Callithrix jacchus: one gene and its partners. Each later gene encodes a partner of the first gene's protein in a complex. Links are inferred from orthologs where the notes say so. Each region holds a gene or a part of one and is shown on either strand. Other genes may lie near its edges. The genes, in order: HDAC3, CORO2A, TBL1X, NKAP, GPS2 and TBL1XR1.

Region 1 (3,500 bases):
TACTATCTAACCCACTGAAACAAGCATGCAAGGATGTATATGTAAAGGGATTCATTGACACATTATTATTGTAATACCAAAAAAATGGAAAATAATGTAAATGTCTATCAATGGTAATTGGTTAAATTTTACGCTATATCCACATGATAGATTATCATACAGCTGATAAAATACTGAAGCAGAGCTATATTAGCTAACATGGAACCAGCTTTATGATGTAAAACAGCATATATATATAGAATGACCCTATTTGTATTCACAAAAAAGCAAAAAACCACACAAAATGTAAATGAGTATGTGTTTGTTTATATGTACATACACATATGTGCATCTATAGAAAAAGGCGTATCCAAAAAAGTAGAAACTATTAACAGTGGTTACTCCTGTGGAATGGGTCTAGGATTGTATGAAAGCAAACAACATATTCTGGTGCTGTTTTAAAATTTTACAATAAATATGTGTTACTTTTGTCATTAAAAATAGCAAAGAAAAGAGTGAGGAAATTGTAGTAGACATGGAGGTAAGCCAGGGGCAATAAAGTTATACCTTCCCATTTACTTTTTTCTCTTTTAAGCCTCCCCAACAAGCCTACCGGAAGCCCCTGAAGTCCCTGCTCCCAGACCTGCTATAGTTCTCCTCAGGACCCCTCTCCTCTGCATCAGCCTCATCAGTCCTGTCATACGTCAGCAGGTCTGCAGGCACATCATGAATCTGAACACTAGGTGCATGGTTCAGCATCTTCAGGTTTTCAAAGATTGTCTGGCGGATCTGGTCCAGATACTGGTTGGAGATGAGGAATAGAGAGTGAGCAGTTCCCAGTGATTCCCAGGGCATGCACTCTCCCAGCTGCCTTTGACCCCTACCATCCTGGTTTTCATCTCAGTGGTAATTTAAGTTTAGGTCCCCCAACTGATAGCTGTCCCTCCCCACCAACCCCAACTGCTTCTGCTTTAACCTACTGCCTCCTAGCCAATAACAGTGACAGTGATGACTTAGAACTTCCTTCTCTTTGGTTTTTTTCTACTTCCCACATCTTTGACCTCTCCTGGGCTCCGCCTTTCAGGAAAAGTTTGTGCTCAGCTTTTCTGAGCTGCTGACCTGGCGTGAGTTCTGATTTTCGATGCGGGTGCTGACATCTGGATGAAGCGTGAAGTCTGGGGCAAAGTACTCGAAGTATTCTTAGGGAGGAGAGGAGAAAGTATGGCTCAGACTAAGAAAGGCAGCTACCAAGACTTCCCAGTCTTTTTCCTTCCCATCCAGAGCCCCTATATAATAGTTGCCCAGTCTTTTCCTTGCTCTGAGCCAGGGGTTTAGTTTGCAGAGCTCTAAGAGTGTAAAATTTTCCATCTGCCTTCAAACCAAGTCATTCTAAAATCTAGTGAGAATGGCCTCCTTGTTGTGGGGGTGTTGTGGGTGGTCCTTACCACTATAGGGAAGCTCCTCACTAATGGCCTCTTCTACCAGCAGCGATGTCTCATATGTCCTGAAACCAACCAGCAGAGGAAAGCAGACTGACCAAGTGGGCTGAAGAGCCCATGTGGCCATATCTGAGGGACCCCCTAGCTCACAGTGTACAACGGGGGAAGAAATCAGGAGGGCGCTCACCAGCAGCGGGCAACATTTCGGACAGTATAACCACCACCACCCAGCACCAGTAGAGGGATATTGAAGCTCTTGACATATTCAACGCATTCCCTATAAAAAGGAACCAGAGGAAGGAGTGGAGGAGGTTGGTTATCAAAAAACAAAGTATATACGTTTAGGTGTTGCCTGAAAGGAGCACAAGGGAACTATAAATATTCTAAATCTTTATCTGGATAGTGAAATTCATTATGTTCAACCCTTAAGATTTATGTATACTTTATATTCTGTGTCTCAATAAAAAATTTAAAATAAAGCATAGTCCCATCTCTGTTCTGCCCAACACCCTCCCTGACACCTGCCTATTAATCAACTACTCTCATCAATGCAAGTTCTGTTGATTCTAAGCCTTCAAAATGTAACTCACGCTGGGTGCAGTGGCTCACACCTGTAATCCTAGCACTTTGGGCGGCTGAGGCAGGTGGACTGCCTGAGCTCAGGAGTTGAAGACCAGCCTGGGCAACACAGCAAAACTCTGTCTCTACTAAAAACACAAAATAAATTAGCCAGGCATGGTGGTGCGTGCCTGTAGTCCCAGCTACTCAGGAGGCTGAGGCAGGAGAATCGCTTGAACCCAGGAGGCAGATCTTACAGTGAGCTGAGATCATGCCACTGTACTCCAGCCTGGATGACAGACCAAGACTCCATCTCAAAAAAAATATATATATATATACATATATATATATTTTGGTCTCTCCATTGCCACCTCCTCCACCTTGGTCTGGGTACCTAACCAAACACCATGGCTTCCTAACTGGTCTTCCCACTTTCATCCCCATTTCCTCTACCCAAAGCTTTCTTTATTCAGCAGTCAGAATAATCACTTTCAAACACAAATCGGATCATGTCACTTTTCTGCTTAAAAATACTACAGTGGTTTCCCAATATCTTTGGAATATAATTCAAACTCCTTATCAGGATCTCAAGGTTCTACACAGTCTCACTATGGTCAGCTTCTCGGACCTCAACTCAAACTACCTCCAGCTTGCTCGCCGTGTTCTACTGAATCAGCTCATTCCTGCCAGAGCCTTTTTTTTTTTTTTTTTAAAGAAACAGTATCTCACTCTGTTGCCCAGACTGAAGTCCAATGGCATAATCATGGCTCACTGTAACCTCAAACTCCTGGGCTTAAGTGATCCTCCTGCCTCAGCTTCCTAAGCAGCTAGGACTATAGGCATGACCATCATGCCCGACTAATTTTGTTTTTTTTCTGTGGAGATGGCTCTCTCTGTGTTGCCCAGGCTGGCCTCAAACTCCTAGCCTCAGGCGATTCTCCCATCTTGGCCTCTAAAAGTGTTAGGATTACAGGTGTATGCACTGGGCCCACCCCTCAGAGCCTTCTGTGGGCCTTTGTCAATGCTTGGGACAGGCTTCTCTCTGCTCCCCTTATGTCTCCTTAAGACTCCTTCTTGGTCACCAGGTGTCAGCTCAGATTTTACTTCCTTAGAAAATGTTTTCCAAATCATACTATATAAAGTAGGTCCCCCATTGTATCCTGTGTCTCAGCTTTCTTTCTGTCTTTCATAGAATTTATAACAATCTATTTCATTTGATTATTTATTTTTTTCTGTTTCCTAAACTGTAAACTTCATGGGAGCCTCCTCATTCCATCCCCATGATGTGGTATGATGCTTGGAACATAATAGGTGTTTAATAAAAATATATTGTGAATGAATAACCATTGAGGGAACCCTGTACAAGATGACATTTCTAGTTCAAGTACAATTTGAAGCTAGTTTTGATTTCCTAGTAGAGGTAAGGCCCATTCCCCAACTATCCCCACCCATGTACTAAGTCCAAGACCACTTAAAAACCTTGGGGAGAAGGAGAGCGAGTCTCACCCATGTCCTCGGATGCTG
Region 2 (3,500 bases), on another chromosome or scaffold:
GGAGGCTGAGGCGGCAGGATCACTTGAGCCCAGGAGGTTGATGCTACAGTGAGCCATGATCATGCCACTCCACTGCAGCCTGGGCAACCCTGTCTCAAAAATAAATAACTGAAAGGGGTGTGGGGAGCACTGAGGGAACCTGGGCTCTCTTCTGATCTTCAGTGCTTTCTTAGCTGTTTGTGTTGGGTGTCTGAGAGCTGCTGACTGTTTGTGCTGGTTGTTCTGTTTTTTTTTTTGAGACAGAGTCTCGCTTCAGTTGTCCAGGCTGGAGGGCAGTGGCGCAATCCTGACTCGCTGCAGCCTCTGCCTCCCAGGTTCAAGTGATTCTCCTGCCTCAGCCTCTCAAGTAGCTGGGATTACAAGTGTGCACCATCAAGCCTGGCTATTTTTATATTTTTAGTAGAGATGAGGTTTCTCCATGTTGGTCAGGCTGGTCTCAAATTCCCAACCTCAGGTGATCTGCCCACCTCAGCCTCTCAAAGTGCTGGGATTACAGGCGTGAACCACTGCACCCAGCCTGTGCCAGTTGTTCTATACACAGCTCCAGGGGGCGCTAGTCCCATCCTAGGCTATAGGAATGGATTGATTGCCCTGGAGCTCTGCATGCACAGCCTGTGTGGATAAACATACAGCCTTGTTGATCTGTGTGAGGTGCAAACTGCTGCTAATAACCGAAACCGCCTGGACGAGCTGGTTCCCTGGGGTCCTCCCTGCATGGATGTTTTGTTGTTCAGAGGCAGGTGGTGTTTTCCCTTCATCACTAGGCAGCCTGGCCCTGGGATTCCTACTCCTGCCACAAGCAGCTTCAGCCTGCACATCATCCTCCCACCGAGGCTTCCTGGCCAGGCTGCCAGCTGTGCTGCCCTCCCGGGGATACCATGTTTCACTGCAACCTGGCCAGTGTGTGACTGGGGGAGTCAGGGGCGGGGTGGCCCCGGTGCTAAGAGCTGGCTCTCTGCCTTGCAGGTGATGATCTGGAACCTGGATACAAAGGAGTCTGTCATCACAAGCCCCGTGAGGACGATTACCTGTCACCAAGATGTGATCCTCTCCATGTCCTTCAACACCAACGGCAGCCTGCTGGCCACCACCTGCAAAGACCGCAAGATTCGGGTTATTGACCCCCGAGCAGGGACCATCCTCCAGGTCAGTGCTGGGCCAGGGGCTGGCTCGGGCTCAGAGGAGCAAGGGGTAGGGGTGCAGGGGGAGGCTTCAGAGAACAGGACAATGATGCTGTCAGCGTCGGGGCCACACCTTCACAGGCACCATCGCCGTCTGTCCTCTCGGGATTGCTGGGGGTGGGATATGTCATTTCCATTTTGCAGATGAGAAAACCAAGGCCTGTGAGAGATGAAATGACTCACCCACATGGAGAGCTGGGATCTGAACATGATCTGACTCCAAAGCTTGTTGGTGTGCCTCAGCTCTGTCACTGGCCAGCGGGGTCAGGAGAGCCGACGACACCACTGTTTAGTCCCTGTGCAACCTTAGGCAAGCATTCCTGCTCTTAGCCTCTGTTTTCACATCTGCAACAATGGGCTGTGGGTTTTTCCTCTCCAAGGATTAGATAAGATGGGCCAGGTGACAGCGCCTACCGAGGTAGGGGTGCCTGATACTCTTTCAGCAAGAACAGGGGGCTGGGCAGAGGTTTGCTTCTGTTCTTGCTCAGAAAAATAACTCTTAACAAAGATAGTGGGGAGAGACTCCATGTGGATGAGAGGGATCCAGGTGGTGCCCCTGGGAATAATCTCCAGGCAGAGTTGGGGTGAGAAAGGGCGGCCTTCTCACCAGGGGGAGCAGCAGCATAAGCAAAGCAGAGAGGCCGGAAACCCCAGCTGCTCCCCGGAATCCCCTCCAGCGTCTCTCCAACACCCACCGCACATGTCCCTCCAGGAGGCCAGCTACAAAGGGCACCGGGCCAGCAAGGTGCTGTTTCTGGGGAACCTGAAGAAGCTGATGTCCACGGGCACATCGCGATGGAACAACCGGCAGGTGGCCCTCTGGGACCAGGTGAGGCCTGCACCCCTCACTATCACCCCTCAGCTGAGAGCCAGCGTCATTCATTCACACATGCATTCATTCAGACACCCATTTATGTCTCACACATTTAGCATAGATTGCCAGGTGCTGGGGATCTGGGGAAGAATAGCAGGGAGATGCCAATTGCCCTGGGCACGCCCAGACCCTGTGCATCTTACACAGGAGGGAGGTAAGTCAGGACCCAGTGGAGGCCCTGGGCTAGACGAGATGAGGTAGCTGAGTCTGGGACCAGGACTAGGAGAAAGGGAGAAGGAGAGGGCCAGCTGGGCAGAGGGGGCAGCCGGAGCAAATGAGGTAGTAATGGGTATGGGGAGGAAGAGCTTTCATCAGGACAGCTGAGGGTAGAGCAGGGGTGAGGGCCATGCCTGCGGTAGTGTTTTGAGGGAGCATTTGACAGGAGTTTCAAAGACTGGGCAAATCACACTTTCTCTCTGCGTCTCCTTCTTCATCTATTAAAATAAAATTTTAAAAACAGGTAGGGGAAGAGTAGAATGAGATCGGATTTGTCAAAAGTGATTTGTTATGGCCAGGCATGGTGGTACATGCATGTAATCCCAGTACTTTGGGAAGCCAAAGTGAGAGGATTACTTGAGGCCAGGAGTTCGAGACCAGTCTGAACTACACAGCAAGACCCCCATCTCTGCAAAAAATCAGCTGGGTGCAGTGGTGTGTGTCTATAATCCCAGCTACTTGGGAGGCTGAGGCAAGAGGATTGCTTGAGCCCAAGAGTTTGAGGCTGCTGTAAGCTATGATTACACCACTGCACTCCAGCCTCGGTGACAGAGACAGACCTTGTCTCAAAAAAAAAAGTGATTTGTTAAGGGCAGGAAGCTGACAAGATAGGTGGTAGCAGCATTTTAGTGCCTTTAACATGTCATCTCCACCAGAGAGTAGCCCACACATTGGACCCCAAGAACCGGGGACATCTTCCCCCAGGACACACATAAAAATCACACTTTTTCTGACACACACACTCTTGCCCAGAGCGCCATGGCAGGAATCATCTCCGGGAGCACCACTGAGGGCCCCCAGGAGTGACCCAGGCCTTCCCTGCCTCCCCTTCCCCTGCAGGATGACCTCTCTGTGCCTCTGATGGAGGAGGACCTGGACGGCTCCTCGGGTGTGCTGTTTCCCTTCTATGATGCAGACACCAGCATGCTCTACCTGGTGGGAAAGGTCAGTTTGGCACCGGTCGGAGGTGGCCGCCTGGACACCTGAGATGGGCAGACAGCAGCCTGGGGCCATTGGGAGCACAGGGCAGGGATGGGCAGGCCTCGCTGGCCACTCTTCTGCCATGAGAAAGAACACCTCCCACACTCCTGGTTCCTTAGGAACACCTGGGGCCAGGGCTCTAGCTAGAAACCTTGACTTTGTCCCTTCCCAACTCCAGGCCCAGATGTGGGGGGACCTTTGGTGTTTCTCAGCAGGGGCACCTGCTGGCCTGGGGGCAGAACAGGTCT
Region 3 (3,500 bases), on another chromosome or scaffold:
GCTGTTGTTCAGAGCTGCCAGTGGTCTAGCTAAGTAGCCAGTTGGAAATGGAGTCCATGTCCACGCAGATAATTCAAGAATTTTGGTTTCTGTGCCTTTGGGTCTTGGAGGATAAAGTAAAAAGCGGAATTTCAAAGTCAGATGGTCTATGGTTCACAGTTTAGTTCAGCCTCTTATCACATAAACCGTGGGCGGGTTACCTGATGTCTCCAGTGTTTGTCCTCATATGTGAAACAAAAACAGTACCCACTCTGAACAGCCGCTACAGAGGCTGAGGTAGTGGACAGAGTGCCCAGGTTTGGTTGAAGGTGGTAATGTGGTCAGAATCGGCTCTGTTTCACAGAGCGTATGACTGCAGGTATCAGTTCTGTGGCCCAGTGCTGCTTGTGGGAATGAATGAGTGAGAGTAGATGAATAAAATATGCCAGGAGCATGAGACTCTCCTTCCACAATTGCTCCATCAGCCATGAGGTTTGCTTGTCAGGAACCCTCATCAGCACCTAATGCTGGTTTCTGGTGCATTCGATAGATGTTTCTAGATGCGGTTTCATGGTGGCTAAGAATAGTTTCTGGCTGCCGAGGCTTGGTTCTCAGCCCCACCCCTACAAACTGAGCAATCAGAACCTGTCAGTTACGCTCAAAAGATCTCAGAGACCTGATTCATCAAGGAAAAAGGACAGTGACAGAATGATGTTGAGAGACTTAAAGCCATTGAGTAGGAGCCAGGTGAGTGGCTCCTACCAGCCATGAGGGTCATGGTGTCTATGAGAGAGGAATCACCGTGGCCTGGAGTAGATAAGGAAGAGTCCATGCAATAGAGCGTTGGGCCAAGAATGCAGTGAGGTCCTGCTTTATTCATTGACTGAGGTTTTTCTATTCCACACTTCGCCAAAGATCTCAATGATAAAAGCTTGCAGGTAAAACTGTGTATAACATGGCGGAAAATAGAGTCATTGGTGAATCCAAGGGTGGGTTGCTTCATTTTGGTAGGAGTGGGTAGGGGAAAAGGAAGGTAGATAGAGAGAAAACAAGTTAGAAGGAAAAGATAAGGTTGTTGTAAAGAACCTTGGCTTATATCCTCCAAAAACACAGGGGTGGAGGAACCCTTGGGGATAGGGGAACCTGGAAAGGGCTCCTTTGCAACCTAATGTAGGCGGTTAGTTTCGTAAAGAAATATACAAGGCTCTGTGCAATGGATTGTAAAATTAATAGCAGCTACCCTAGTACTCTATTAGATAAATCTCAACCACACATTCAATATGTTCTTTACAACCTGGAGATGGGGACAGAATAGAGGGTGGATTGAAGAGGAGGGAGTAGACAGAGAAAAGTGAAATATCAGAAAGCAGCAAGGAGAGCAAAGCGCAGAGCTCCTCTCCTGGAGGAATGAACATTCCCATCTGGCGAGCATTTTGTTTATGCAAGGTCAGTTCGTATTTGGATAAGGAGAGACAGAAGGCCACTGATGTGGAAGCGGAGGGAAGCCGGCTGCCACTGCCCCCCTTTGGCTGAATGAAAGATGACGAAGAGGAACACACGCCCAGCGAGGCTGATAGTCCCATCTCCTGGGATAACCAGATCCTCAGCCTGCAGAGTGGCCTAACCAGGGAGGTACAGTGGCCACTTTCAGAACTCCCTGCTTCCTGCTCATTTGCCTCATCCGTGGAGGATGTAAACAATGTGAGAGTTGAAAGACACACTATGGGAATGCCTTGGTGTCTGTCCCACCTGTTGCCAGGGAGACAAGCATGGGGGTCCATGTTCCTCCAACTCTCAAGGATTTCAAGCTCCTATACACCCCCAGTCCGCCTCTGCACCAAGCAAAGTGACCCAGCCCTGCCAGGCGGGGTTTCCTGTTTTAGGAAACTCCCTGCAGCAGCCTAGACTTGCTGGCAGTAGGATGCCGCCTCCCTCCCTCTCCTTGAGGAAGGGCTGTTGCAGCTTCCCCATCACCCGGCCGACCTCCACATACATGCCCAGTGTCGTTGCCTTCTTTCCTTGAAGCAGGCATCATCCACAAGAGCAAGGCATGGCTTTCTGTGTATTCAGTCCTGATCCCCTTCCCAACAGCTTCATTCAAGAGCCTTCATCCAAAGCTGATCTGAAAACACCTTTAAATTGCCAGGCATCATTGATCAGCAGCTTCCTACAGCAGGAGTGAAGGAGATGCAGTCGGGGAGGAAAGGAAAAGAGCCAACATCTATTAGCCAGGAGAAAATTCCCAGTGTTTGGAGAAAATGACAGTACCACACCAGTCAGTCGAGATTGGCCTCTTCTCCGTCTTCAGATGTTGGGTTGTGATGCACTTGCCCCACGTGCTAGGAGCACTCAGGGTCAGCGTTTGCTGTTCCCTCATCTTGGGCTGAAGAAAGGTGCCCTGTATGCTTGCAGGGGGTGACACGGAGAGTCTTCGGCATGAGCTTCTGTAGAGTCATATGAACCGCAGAGTTGCGGGGAGCCTGGAGCCAAATTTCAGTAACAGATATGTCCAACCGGGGCACGCAGGGCAAACTCTATTGTCTGTTCTGTTTTATTATTAATAACACTGAAATGGGTCTACCATTAAAGGCCCTTGTTTCATCACATACCAACCTGGTCTTCCTGGGTCTGAAATCCCTCCTTCTTCCTCTGCCCTTTCCTACCTTATTGAACCCAAATCAGAAGCATCTCTGGGCATTCTACAGCCGTGTCTGCCCCCATAAACTAAGTGTGTTTGAAATCCGCAGGCCACCCTCAGATCTCAATGGCTGCACCTCCCTCGGTCAGTTTGGGTCTCATTCAACCTCGGCTTTCCCCTCTTGCTGCAGGTTTTTCCCACTCGGCTTTCACATTCGGGATCGAGAGCCACATCAGCCAGTCCAACATCAATGGGACACTAGTGCCGCCGGCTGCCCTCATCTCCATTCTCCAGAAGGGCCTGCAGTATGTAGAGGCCGAGATCAGTATCAATGAGGTATGTAGCTGCCGGGCTCGGTCCCCAAACAGTAGAGCCCTGGGAAGCTGCAAAAGCTTGAAACACATTGGAAACTAACATGCATATCCCTCAGGCATTTGGGATTAATTCAGTGGCAGGGTACAGTGGCTTAGGCCTATAATACCAGGACTTTGGGAGGCTGAGGCAGGAGGTCCACTTGGGCCCAGGAGTTTGAGACCAGCCTGGACAACATGGTGAAACAGCATTTCTACAAAAAGTTTAAAATTAGCTCAGTGTGGTGGTACACACCTGTAGCCCCAGCTCTTGGAAGGCTGAGCTGAGAGGATCAGATCACTCAAGCCCGAGAGGTTGAGGCTTCAGTGAGCTATAATTGTGCCACTACACTCCAGCCTGGGCTACACAGTGAGACTCTTACCTCTAAAATAAAATTTAAAAAAGAAGAAAGGAAGTTGGGTTTTTTTCCACTTTGTGTTAATACCTTATTGATCAGGGATGACACAGTAGCAAGCTTCCAGTGCCCCTCCCACATGGTTCTGTGTTTTTTAGTTAAATATAGAATCGTTGG
Region 4 (3,500 bases), on another chromosome or scaffold:
TGCAGCAAATCAAAATCTCTTTAGACTGTAGTTTGTTAGGTTCTTGCTCTGAGGAGACAGAACAGTTGCTGCTTTACCATTTGTCTTTTACGTGCTTAGAATAAAATTGTGAAGTCTTTTTTCAACCTTCTTATATCCAGTTTCTTTAATCTTTCCTTATGGTTCTTGTTTCTCTACTTTTTCCCTGTGGTTTCTTCTGAAAATCTAAATCCTCCATGCTGCTTTGTTTAAATAGCACTCTGTAAACACTGAAGTATTATACAAATGATAAGTTATGTTATTGTTACAAAGGCAGTAGACCCTTGAACTCCATGTTTTCAAAAGTAGTTCAGTGCTTGCTTTGTGGTTGTTGTTGTTGTTTTGATTCCCAAGTTCTGCCTCAGGATCTCCAATGCTTGCTTTTAATGGTTCTTGGACAGTCAGTGCTGTTACTGAAAAATTTGGGGTTCGTGTTTTTACACGCCATGGTCCATGTCTCATCACTTTCCTAATTCTTATAACCATTTATTTAAATTCAGTTCTGATGAACATACACCAGTAGAGGATGAAGAGCCAAAGAAAAGCACTACTTCAGCTTCTACTTCAGAAGGTATTTAAAATTAAAAAAAAAAAAAGAAAGAGAAAAAAAACCCAGAGGGTATTTTTGAAATACAGAGCTATTTTTTTGAGGGATTTAAAAAAATCCGGGTTTTTTTGGGTTTTGTTTGTTTTTTGAGATGGAGTCTTGCTTTGTTGCCCAGGCTGCAGTGCAGTGGCGCAATCTTGGCTCACTGCAACCTCTGCCTCCCAGGTTCAAGCAATTCTCCTGCCTCAGCCTCCTGAGTAGCTGGGATTATAGGCTCAAGCCACGCCCAGATAATTTCTGAGTTTTTAGTAGAGATGAGTTTCACCATGTTGGTCAGGCTGATCTTGAACTCCTGACCTCGTGATCCACCTACCTCAGCCTCCCAAAGTGCTGGGATTACAGGTATGAGCCACTGTGCCCCGCCTAAAATACCAGTTTGTAAATAGTTGAACATTAGACTTTGCTTTTACTCAAATTGCCCATCATCTTTTTCTTTTGATGTTCAGAAATAATTTTTTAGAATATAATTTTTTATTTGTATTTTCTTAGAAGAAAGAAAGAAGAAGAAGAAGTCTAGCCATTCAAAAGAAAGGTTCAAGAAAAGGAGAAAGAAAAAATCATCAAAAAGAAAACACAAGAAGTATTCTGAAGATAGCGACAGTGACTCTGATTCTGAAACAGACTCCAGTGGTAAGAAAGCCAACAGCATTCTGCAAGCCTTGCTTCAAAACTAGTTTTACTTCTTAAAACTTATTTTAGAAGAAGGTTCCTGAAAATAATAGTAGCACTGAAGAGTTTTTGAATGCTTGCTAACCTTGTGCCAGGCATCCCGTTAAATGCTTTATATTCATTATTGCCATTTAATTCATACAATAGCTGTAAGGTACATCTTACAGATGAGGAAGTGGACACAGAGCAGGTTTTAAGTACTATCCCCAAGGTCACACAGTTGGGATTCAAACCTAAGCGATCTGACTCCAGATTGGATGTGCATAGTTGTAGAAGGCATGTGCCACCAGACCAAGTCAGGGGGCTGGGCTGTACCAAAGTAAGCCTTACAGGGCTGCATTAGCCCAGTGGAAGGGCTCTTTTATGTAATTCTCATGCCCAACGAGCACCTCTGTATACTTTTCAAAAAGGTATGCCATAAAGTGCCCCCTTCATGCCGGCTGCTGATTTGTGGAAGGCACCCTATCTGGGATAGTGCATCGCAAATAGTCTCCTTTTTGTACTGTCTCCTGGCTGATGATTGACCAGAAGGTGCCTCCTCAGGGGTTAGCATTACGCAAAGGTTCACCTTCCTCTGATATCAACCAGGTTTCCTGGCCATCCCTATCACTTCTCTTCCTCAGTTCTGGAAGACAGAACTTCCAAATATTTCTGTATGCATCCCTTAAGAGACATTTTTATACTTAACTACAACACTGTCTCACACAATGAAATTAGTAATAGTACCCTATATCACCGAATGCCTACTTAAAATCCTTCAATAGCAATCCATAGCCTTCAGGGTAAAGTTCAGACCCTGACTCACCTCTCTCTAATCACATATACCCTGTTACACTCTCTTGCACCATCCTCTGTAATCTTAAAACTACTTTCTGTCTGCTTAGTATTCCCCGTTTTTTCTCTTAATTGTTGCTTGACAGAGAGGCCCTCTGCCTGCAATGCCAGTCCCTCCCTCCACCCAGCTTCATTTACTCATTTCACCAGTGGGCATACTTCTGTACTTTTGTAATCAAAGAACTACTTTAAGAGTAACCTTTCCTGGTCAACCATTCCTCAACCTCCCTCCCCACATCAGTCTGATTTTAAGACTCCTCTGTGTGTCTAGGCTCCCCAAGCTGTCTATCACTCCAGTCTGTATTGATCTCTTTACCTATCTGTCTCCTCCATTAGCCTGAGCTCCTGGAAAGCATTCTCTCTCCCACCTCCAACACACACATAGTTTTCTTTTCCTTTTTATCATGAACATGTTTAAATATTGAGAAAAGTGAAGAGAATAGTATAATTAATACCATATGCTTATCACCTAGATTTGGTGGTTGCTAGTATTTTTACATATTTACTTCAAAATATGGGCTTTTTGCTGAGATATTCAAACTCAATTACAAATATCATCACACTTCCACCCTGTATGCATCTCCTAAAGAGAGGCATTTTCCTACTTAACCACAACACTATGTCACACAATAAAATTAATAATAATACCCTATATCACCAAATACCTAGTGACTTTAATTTCTATGTTTATACTACCTCTTACAGTTCCTGACAAATAGCAATAAATATTCCAATGAGGTAATTTCTTTGCAATAATAAATGGGACAGTAATAGATTAGTTACCTACTCAAAAGTACTACGGTTTTAGAGTTAAAATTTTTTTTTCTTAATTGTACTGTGCTTTAATTTGCAGATGAAAATAACAAAAGGAGAGCAAAGAAAGCCAAGAAAAAGGAAAAGAAGAGGAAACACAGATCGTCAGTTTTTTAAGTTTTATTATAGAAAATTTCTTTTTTTTTCTTTTGAGACAGAGTCTTACTCTGTTGCTCAGACTGGAGTGCAGTGGTGTGGTCTCGGCTCACAGCAACCTCCGCCTCCCTGGTTCAATCAATTCTCATATCTCAGCCTCCCAAGTAGCTGGGATTACAGGCACCCACCACCACGCCTAGCTAATTTTTGTGTTTACTTTAGTAGAGATGGAGTTTCACCACGTTGGCCAGGCTGGTTTGGAACTCCTGACCTCAAGGAATCCTCCCACCTTGGAGTCCCAAAGTGCTGGGATTACTGGCATGAGCCACTGCACCCAGCCAGAAAATTTCAAACGTATATAAAATTACGTAAAATAGTATAATGATCCCTCCTGTATCCATCATGCTGTCTAAATAATTATCAAATGATGGGCAATATCTACCATCCATCATTTATTTTTGAA
Region 5 (3,957 bases), on another chromosome or scaffold:
GCACTCCAGCCTGGAAGGTGGGAGACATTCGAGCAAAGGCTTGAAGAAGGAAGTAAAGGGTAGCTGAGCAGGCTTTGGGAGGAAGAGCATTTCAGGTAGAAAGAACAGCTAGAACGAAGTTCCCAAAAGGTGAGAGGATTTCCTAGGTAAAGCAAGGCTTGTGTGGTTGGAACAGACTTTGCAAGGGGAGAGGTGATGGGGTGAGAGGCTTCACTCCCCTATTTCTTCTTGTCTGACAGATTCCGGGACCCCAAATCCCAGCGGACGCACCAGGCTCAGGTGGCGTTCCAGGTGTGTGTGCGTCCTGGCTCCTACACCCCAGGACCCCCTTCCGCTGCCCTTGGAGAACCTTCTGACCCTCACTTCAGCCCAGCCGAACTTGAGTGGGTCACTAAGGAGAAGGGGGCCACACTCCTCTATGCTCTGCTGGTACGGGTGGAATGAGGGGTGAGACACCACTACTACAAGCACAGTCGGGCCTCAGGCCCATGGACTCCGAGTGGCGACTGCCTCCACCTCATTCCCGTGACTGTGGCATGCGCAGGTGCTGGGGCTCGGCGGCCGCTCAGGAGCATGTAGGCAGGCTCTCAGATGTAGGTGGGAAGCGGCACACTCCAGGTCCAGACGCCCAGCACTCCGTCTGAGGGGAGGAGCTGCGAGAGCCTAGCTCCAGGCCTTGGTACCCTTCTTCATGCACTGATTTGTGGAACATAACTCCCTATTACTCCCCTCCCCGACATCACTTAATTTATTTCAGTTTTTGTTACTGGTTACTGTGAATCCCAGAGGAGTCTCTACCTGTGCCCACATGAAGCTGCTTTTGCCGGGGCCACTGGGCGGGAGTGGGGAAGGGCGGGCGCACGGAAGACGGGGGCCTCTGTACAGTTGTTACTGACTCTGATTTCTAAGGAGCCAATAAACATCGTCTCAGAGCCTCCGCTTCAGCCTCTCTCTCACGCGCCCCTTTCCGGATCCTGCGTCCCCTGGGGTACTGCCAGGCGGGCCCGCGAAATTAAGAGAACTGAAGATGCCAAGGCAGTTGTGCGGCGACGGGGTTTGGACGCCGCGGGTACCCGTCGCATCGCGCTTCCGCCTTCTCCCACCCAATCAGTGAGATCGGCCGCCGCCGTGACTCCGGAAGGACTCGTCGGGCCACCGGATGTGACGTAGGGTCCAGGGCGCGCCGGAGCCGCGGAAAAAGCGCAGAGAAGGCTGGTAAGGAGGGTTGGCGTCCGGGCTGGCCAGGCAGGGAGCGGCAGCACCGAGCCGGGGACCCAGCGCCGCCCGCGCGCGTGCTGGAGCGGGGGCTGCGGGCTCGGCCGGGTGGCGGGCTCCCGGGACACGTGACCGGGGCGGCGAGCGGGTTTCCGCCTGAGCCGGGCGCGGGCCCCTCTGAGCGCCCGCCTCTCCGTAGGTCTCGTCTGAGGTCTGGCAGTGAGAGACAGAGCCGGGCGTCCACGGCAGCACCATGCCTGCACTTCTGGAGCGCCCCAAGCTTTCCAACGCCATGGCCAGGGCGCTGCACCGGCACATTATGATGGAACGGGAGCGCAAGAGGCAGGGTGAGCCGGGGCCATAGCGGAGGGCATACGGCCCAGAATGGCTCCTGTACCTCAGGGCTGGCCCCAACCCACCGGCCAACCTGCGCGCCCGCTGCCGAGCGCAGAGGAGGGAACGAACAGCTCTGTTGTGGTAGGATTTAAGCGTCCTAGTCCACTCTCCAGGACCCTTGAGCTGGGAAGGACCTTGGAGAGCACCTGATAAAGTCTCTCCATTCCATTCCCTATTGCAGCGTTGGGGAGCTTGTCCCCTCGAGGCAAAGAGCCCACAGGCGTGTTGGGATGACTGGGTTTTGCTGGTCTTCAATCTGTAACGTTGGAATTTTTACTACCCTGCCTCTTCCTCATTCTGCGTGATTCTCCAGAGGAAGAAGAGGTGGACAAGATGATGGAACAGAAGATGAAGGAAGAGCAAGAAAGAAGGAAGAAAAAGGAGATGGAAGAGAGAATGTCACTAGAGGAGACCAAGGAACAAGTAAGCAGTCCCTTGATCTCTCCAAGCTCTAAATTCTTCCCTTGACTCTCCCTGCCTTCATCTTCTCTCCCCACCCCATACCAGATTCTGAAGTTGCAGGAGAAGCTTTTGGCCCTACAGGAAGAAAAGCACCAGCTTTTCCTGCAGCTCAAGAAAGTTTTACATGAGGAAGAAAAACGGAGGCGAAAGGAACAAAGGTGGGATCAGAGTGATAAAAACCGAAATGGGGGCTAAGTGGAACTGGGATCAGATAGTAAGACAACCAGTGTTTTAACGACAAAAGAGAGAGTGTCTGTCCTTGACTTTGATCTGTTTTCCTTCCGCTCCAGTGACCTGACCACCCTGACATCAGCTGCATACCAGCAGAGCCTGACTGTTCACACAGGAACTCATCTCCTCAGCATGCAAGGTGAGGATTAAAAAAACTACCTGATAGAACCAGCCTTCTTTGAGGTTGCAGCCTACCATTTCAGCATCCTGCCGCCCTTCTCCCTTTCTAGGGAGCCCTGGAGGACACAATCGCCCAGGCACGCTTATGGCAGCTGACAGAGCCAAACAAATGTTTGGACCCCAAGTGCTTACGGTAAGAATAGGATTGGATGCCTAGTCCCAAATATCCTTGCCACCAGTATTCAAGTCACAGACATATCAAGCACTTAAATTTAGGGGGAAACAAGAGCATAAAGATATACACAAGTCACTGAGTTTCAGCTTTCATGGAGCTTGTAGGTGAGTTCTCATTCTCCCTCCTTAGACTCGGCACTATGTGGGCTCAGCAGCTGCTTTTGCGGGGACACCAGAGCATGGACAATTCCAAGGCAGTCCTGGTGGTGCCTATGGGACTGCTCAGCCCCCACCTCACTATGGGCCCACACAGCCAGCTTATAGTCCTAGTCAGCAGCTCAGAGGTGAGTCGTCGGAGGGATGGGGGCTTGGCTTTCCTCAGGGTCAAAAGAGGAATGCTATTGAGTAAAGGGTTAATAGCCGTGTCTCTTTCTCAGCTCCTTCAGCGTTCCCTGCAGTGCAGTACCTATCTCAGCCACAACCACAGCCCTATGCGGTACACGGCCACTTTCAGCCCACTCAGACAGGTGATAACATCCCATGCAGGACCTCTAGCTCTCTGGGTCCTCCCCTCCCTGTCTCATTGTTTCACATGCCCCTGCTCCCCACCTAGGTTTCCTCCAGCCTGGTGGTGCCCTGTCCTTGCAAAAGCAGATGGAACATGCTAACCAGCAGACGGGCTTCTCTGACTCAGTGAGTATGGCGCTTGGGAGGTCAGGGTTAAGGATATGTTAAGAGGAGCTTCAGTATGCGTCAGGCCCTGACTCTGTTCTCTGCAGTCCTCTCTGCGCCCCATGCACCCCCAGGCTCTGCATCCAGCCCCTGGACTCCTTGCTTCCCCCCAGCTCCCTGTGCAGATCCAACCAGCAGGAAAGGTAAGAATGGTAATAACCTTACCTGTCAGAATCCCTATCCCAGAAAAGCAGAATTAGGTAGGACAGGTGGCCCACATCATCTGGTTTTACCTTCCTCTTTGGGGGTGGTTATCAGTAAGGGTATTAGTGGAAGGGAAAGTATGCCCAGTGACAAAGCCCTCTTTTCATCACCACCGCCAGTCGGGCTTTGCAGCTACCAGCCAACCTGGCCCTCGGCTCCCCTTCATCCAACACAGCCAGAACCCGCGATTCTACCACAAGTGACCATCAGATTATTATCTTCAACACCATACCCCCCATCCTACTGTGGGTGAGGGTACCCCCTGTGTGTCCCAGGCCAATAAAATCTACCTGCCACTGCCCCTGGCTGCTGCTGTTTGTGTTGCCTCCCACCCAACTGTCTGGAATAGGTCAAGGCTGCTTGAAGGGTTGGGTTAGGCTGGCAGGTCTACAGCAAGTCAAAGTGATACAGATAGTGGGTTTC
Region 6 (3,500 bases), on another chromosome or scaffold:
GAAACATTTTAATCTCTTAAAAAACAAAGCAAAACAAACAAACAACAAAAACCCAAAACTACTTTGCTCCTTTTCACAATAGTGCACATTTTTACCATAATTTAGTTATGGCTACAAAACATCAGAAGATTTTTTTTTTTTTAATGTATCTTCTCTATGGTAATTAAAAAAAAACTTTGTGCCCTTCTAGTCATTAATTGGCAGAAATATGTCCCAAAAAAGAAACTATTGCATTTAAGCCACATCACCAAAAAACAAAGAAAACAAAAATTAAAAAAAAGAAAAAGAAAAGCAAAACAAAACAAAAAAAAAAAAACAGAACCAACAGAGCATAATACCCTTTTACTGATGTGTCTTCCAGATCGACATGACCAAAGTCATTTGTTTTCATTAATTTCCGATTCCCCTTCCACAACATGCACCAACTGAATATATGCTCTGGGAGCCATAAAGTGTACCAAACATCTACCTCTTCAAAAGAATGCATTAAAATATTTAAAGAATTTTTTTGTTGTTCAAAAGGTGAAAAAAATATAAACAAGAAACTGATTCACTCCCTTACTTCATGCATCCATAATCTAAACCAAAAACAAAATGTTAAAGCAAGAACACACTACTGCTGCAAGTTTCTGTAAGTCCATTTTCTCTGTACATACAAACTGCTCGCTACTGAAGGGAAAAAAGAATATACTCCATGGTGTCTGCTGATTCAAAGGGGAGAAACAAGGCTGTCATTTAGTATCCAAAACTGGTACATGTATGTTCTGCTTTTATAATGTATATTTTTCTCTCTTCTGTTTTTCATATCCAAAACTTCTAAATGCTATTTTAGGGGCACAGCAGATTAGATTCCAGCACTTGGTGAACAAAATTCACAAGCTGTGACAAACCTGTCATCTTCAGGGTGCAATTTTGTTTATATACACTGTATGTATATATTTCTTTTAGATTTGGCTGTAGTGGACTGGCCATGGTTCAAGTGGGACTATAGCAGTACATGGGTCAGGGACAGTCATTTTGGCTATGTACACATTCATAGTCGGTCCATGGCTTCCAACTAGTAGCGCTATTTCCGAAGGTCTAATACACAAACCTGTAAGAAATTAAAATAGTCAACCAGTGTATTCAGAATTTCATTGTACATTTTTTGTTTAACTTTTCTATAGTACAATTTGAAATGTTTCTTAGTTCCAAGTTTATAAAACTGGTAAAGCATAATAATCATGGAAATGGGCACTAAACTGACAGAAATCAGATCACTTAAGAAGATCAAGAGAACAACCATGAGCTCAAACTATGGGGAGAAAACCAGGGCTAGGATTTTTAGGAATTACTCTCTGCTGATCAAAAAGGAGAGGGAAAATGCTCAAAACAGACCATTCCCTATCCAGTGGACTCTAACGAAAGATATCACAGATTATATTCAGCTACAGCGTCAGTAAACAGCTACCCTTTCCCACCTTCCATTGCTTCTACAGCTTTGGAAGCCATATTTGCATTGCTGTAAAGAGCTGGCCAACCTCATCCTGAAAACCTTTCAGTATCACACATTCCTCAACAGAGGAACCAACTGCCCCTAATCCCACCTTCCCTGGGCCAACAAACTCTTCTGTGAAGAGGAGAAAGTAGAAATACCCATTAAAAATTCCAATAATCCTCTGAGTGCTACTCTGGTATACCTAATTTCATAAATGAAGGCTCAGATTAAAAATAACTGTCCATTTCTAGATTATAAGGCAGTCTTTTGGTAAGGAAAGCGTGAATTATGTTTGTAATATTTGAATGCAATGCACATGAAACATTTATAGCCTCAGGGTAAAAAAAAAACTCATATCATACCTTAAAATTTATTTGGAAAAAAGAACAAAAACCCACTTTCGTATATCGCTAACAATAAGCTGCATGCTACTGTGAACACACGCCCAACCCCTCTTTGGAAACACTTTACTGTACTTACTGAACCATCTGATGCACTGGCTCCAACTTTGTCTCCTGCTGCATTCCAGCAAACTTCAAAAATTCCACCTGTTCCCCTATAGCTGTGAACTAGAGCACCTGTCTAAAAGAATGAAAAACAAAATCTTAAAAGTCATATACATATTATAAATCCAAATACTGAGATAAAAATATTACACAGCCTTATTTCTAGCAATGAGAGGAGAGACTTAGCTTCAAATATAAAAATAAGTTCTGAAACTCCTTATTTTTTTTTATGAAAAGATAACACCAGCCTGTTCTCAAAAGATTACTCACACACACACATTCAGTTTCTCCAGTGATGATAACAAGGTATCTGGTCTCTCTGACATAGCCAACAATAGCTAGAAGTAAACATTCAGTGCATCACATGAAATAAGTTTTTGCTGTTGCTAAATGATGCATGGGTCTAGCTAACATGTAGAGAAAAAAATTAACTCAGAATTTCTTTGACAAAACAGCTTAAGAGAGGAAATTAACTAACTAGTAAAGCTAATTCCAGTAAAAGTCTGCTATTCACTCCATATTCACTGAGCAGCCCTAAGTTAGGAGATCCATAATAATGTATGTACCCTGTGTTTGAGCCAGGGTCTTGTTCTGTCACCCAGGCTGGATGCGGTTATGCAATCATAGCTCACTGCATCTTCTAACTCCTGGCCTAGAGTGATCCTTCCCTGCCTCTGCCTCCTGAGTAGCTAGGATTACAGGTGCATGCCACCATGCCTAGCTAATTTTAAAAAATTATTTGTAGAGACAAGCCCTCACCATGTTGCTCAGGCTGGTCTTGAACTCTTGGCCTCAAGCAATCCACTCACTCTGGCTTCCCAAAATGTTGGGATTATAAGCATGCGCCACAGTGCCCAGATAGATACGTACACTATTCTTGAAAGGTGTTATAAGTGTAAACAAAAAACACGGCCAGGAATACTAACAATTTCACTGTTCAGCTGTCACTGAAGAATTAAAACTCAGTCCAAAAATGTATTATCCTACGAAACCAGTCAGTTCACAGGACAAAAGATCAGAGGTCCTGTTGTGAAAACTGAAAAATGTGCTTCTGGTGTTCTGCCCTGGCAAATCAGAAAAGTGACCCCTGTAGCTTTATGGTAACCTTAAGTCAAGCTAGAGGTAGATCTATTTAAAAACAACAGGGCGGCAAACCATATACCTTGAAAATACCTCCCATTCAGCCTATCCAAGTTGACCACTAGGCTGGAAGAACGTTGACCTAGCTTTCCTCTTCAAATTTAGCCTGGTAACGTGGCACAAATCACGGATGCATTGCTACTGATTATCAGGCTGGGAAGGCTCAACTGTTTTGTTTATTTAAAATTTCTCCCAACTTAAAATGTCTCATAATTTATGAGATTAAGTTCAAGTATAGTAGGCTTTGAGTATCTATGGTTAACAAGGAGAGAAAAAGTAGCACCAACAAAATATTAGGTATAAAAAATCTATCGTCAACCTACAGACATTCAATCTACAGCCAACTTGGGGGTTAAAAAAACAAAAGAACGTTCTTT

What was found.
Region 2: HDAC3 (region 1) and CORO2A share a complex: the UniProt entries of both Homo sapiens proteins name them as parts of the N-Cor repressor complex. The link is inferred for Callithrix jacchus from reciprocal best matches to the Homo sapiens genes HDAC3 and CORO2A.
Region 3: HDAC3 (region 1) and TBL1X share a complex: the UniProt entries of both Homo sapiens proteins name them as parts of the N-Cor repressor complex. The link is inferred for Callithrix jacchus from reciprocal best matches to the Homo sapiens genes HDAC3 and TBL1X.
Region 4: HDAC3 (region 1) and NKAP share a complex: the UniProt entries of both Homo sapiens proteins name them as parts of the notch corepressor complex. The link is inferred for Callithrix jacchus from reciprocal best matches to the Homo sapiens genes HDAC3 and NKAP.
Region 5: HDAC3 (region 1) and GPS2 share a complex: the UniProt entries of both Homo sapiens proteins name them as parts of the N-Cor repressor complex. The link is inferred for Callithrix jacchus from reciprocal best matches to the Homo sapiens genes HDAC3 and GPS2.
Region 6: HDAC3 (region 1) and TBL1XR1 share a complex: the UniProt entries of both Homo sapiens proteins name them as parts of the N-Cor repressor complex. The link is inferred for Callithrix jacchus from reciprocal best matches to the Homo sapiens genes HDAC3 and TBL1XR1.

The regions. Positions count from the first base shown.
Region 1 is NC_133503.1:40,058,218-40,061,717, forward strand, and holds part of HDAC3 (histone deacetylase 3), read right to left. Parts: coding exon 3,483-3,500; intron 1,696-3,482; coding exon 1,606-1,695; intron 1,484-1,605; coding exon 1,425-1,483; intron 1,179-1,424; coding exon 1,099-1,178; intron 781-1,098; coding exon 623-780; intron 1-622. UniProt on the Homo sapiens protein: Histone deacetylase that catalyzes the deacetylation of lysine residues on the N-terminal part of the core histones (H2A, H2B, H3 and H4), and some other non-histone substrates.
Region 2 is NC_133502.1:146,257,597-146,261,096, reverse strand, and holds part of CORO2A (coronin-2A), read left to right. Parts: intron 1-966; coding exon 967-1,146; intron 1,147-1,893; coding exon 1,894-2,010; intron 2,011-3,111; coding exon 3,112-3,216; intron 3,217-3,500.
Region 3 is NC_133524.1:9,897,329-9,900,828, forward strand, and holds part of TBL1X (F-box-like/WD repeat-containing protein TBL1X), read left to right. Parts: intron 1-2,807; coding exon 2,808-2,953; intron 2,954-3,500. UniProt on the Homo sapiens protein: F-box-like protein involved in the recruitment of the ubiquitin/19S proteasome complex to nuclear receptor-regulated transcription units. Plays an essential role in transcription activation mediated by nuclear receptors.
Region 4 is NC_133524.1:115,910,925-115,914,424, reverse strand, and holds part of NKAP (NF-kappa-B-activating protein), read left to right. Parts: intron 1-518; coding exon 519-589; intron 590-1,114; coding exon 1,115-1,255; intron 1,256-2,981; coding exon 2,982-3,045; intron 3,046-3,500. UniProt on the Homo sapiens protein: Acts as a transcriptional repressor. Plays a role as a transcriptional corepressor of the Notch-mediated signaling required for T-cell development. Also involved in the TNF and IL-1 induced NF-kappa-B activation.
Region 5 is NC_133506.1:73,797,811-73,801,767, reverse strand, and holds GPS2 (G protein pathway suppressor 2), read left to right. Parts: upstream 1-1,157; 5' UTR 1,158-1,215; intron 1,216-1,414; 5' UTR 1,415-1,468; coding exon 1,469-1,562; exon of another isoform or gene 1,563-1,692; intron 1,693-1,792; exon of another isoform or gene 1,793-1,924; coding exon 1,925-2,034; intron 2,035-2,118; coding exon 2,119-2,231; intron 2,232-2,363; coding exon 2,364-2,443; intron 2,444-2,534; coding exon 2,535-2,617; intron 2,618-2,788; coding exon 2,789-2,942; intron 2,943-3,035; coding exon 3,036-3,125; intron 3,126-3,211; coding exon 3,212-3,291; intron 3,292-3,355; coding exon 3,356-3,473; intron 3,474-3,653; coding exon 3,654-3,787; 3' UTR 3,788-3,833; downstream 3,834-3,957. Other genes in the region: NEURL4 (neuralized-like protein 4), read left to right, coding at 240-444. UniProt on the Homo sapiens protein: Key regulator of inflammation, lipid metabolism and mitochondrion homeostasis that acts by inhibiting the activity of the ubiquitin-conjugating enzyme UBE2N/Ubc13, thereby inhibiting 'Lys-63'-linked ubiquitination.
Region 6 is NC_133518.1:9,886,499-9,889,998, reverse strand, and holds part of TBL1XR1 (F-box-like/WD repeat-containing protein TBL1XR1), read right to left. Parts: intron 2,060-3,500; coding exon 1,958-2,059; intron 1,094-1,957; coding exon 1,067-1,093; 3' UTR 1-1,066. UniProt on the Homo sapiens protein: F-box-like protein involved in the recruitment of the ubiquitin/19S proteasome complex to nuclear receptor-regulated transcription units. Plays an essential role in transcription activation mediated by nuclear receptors.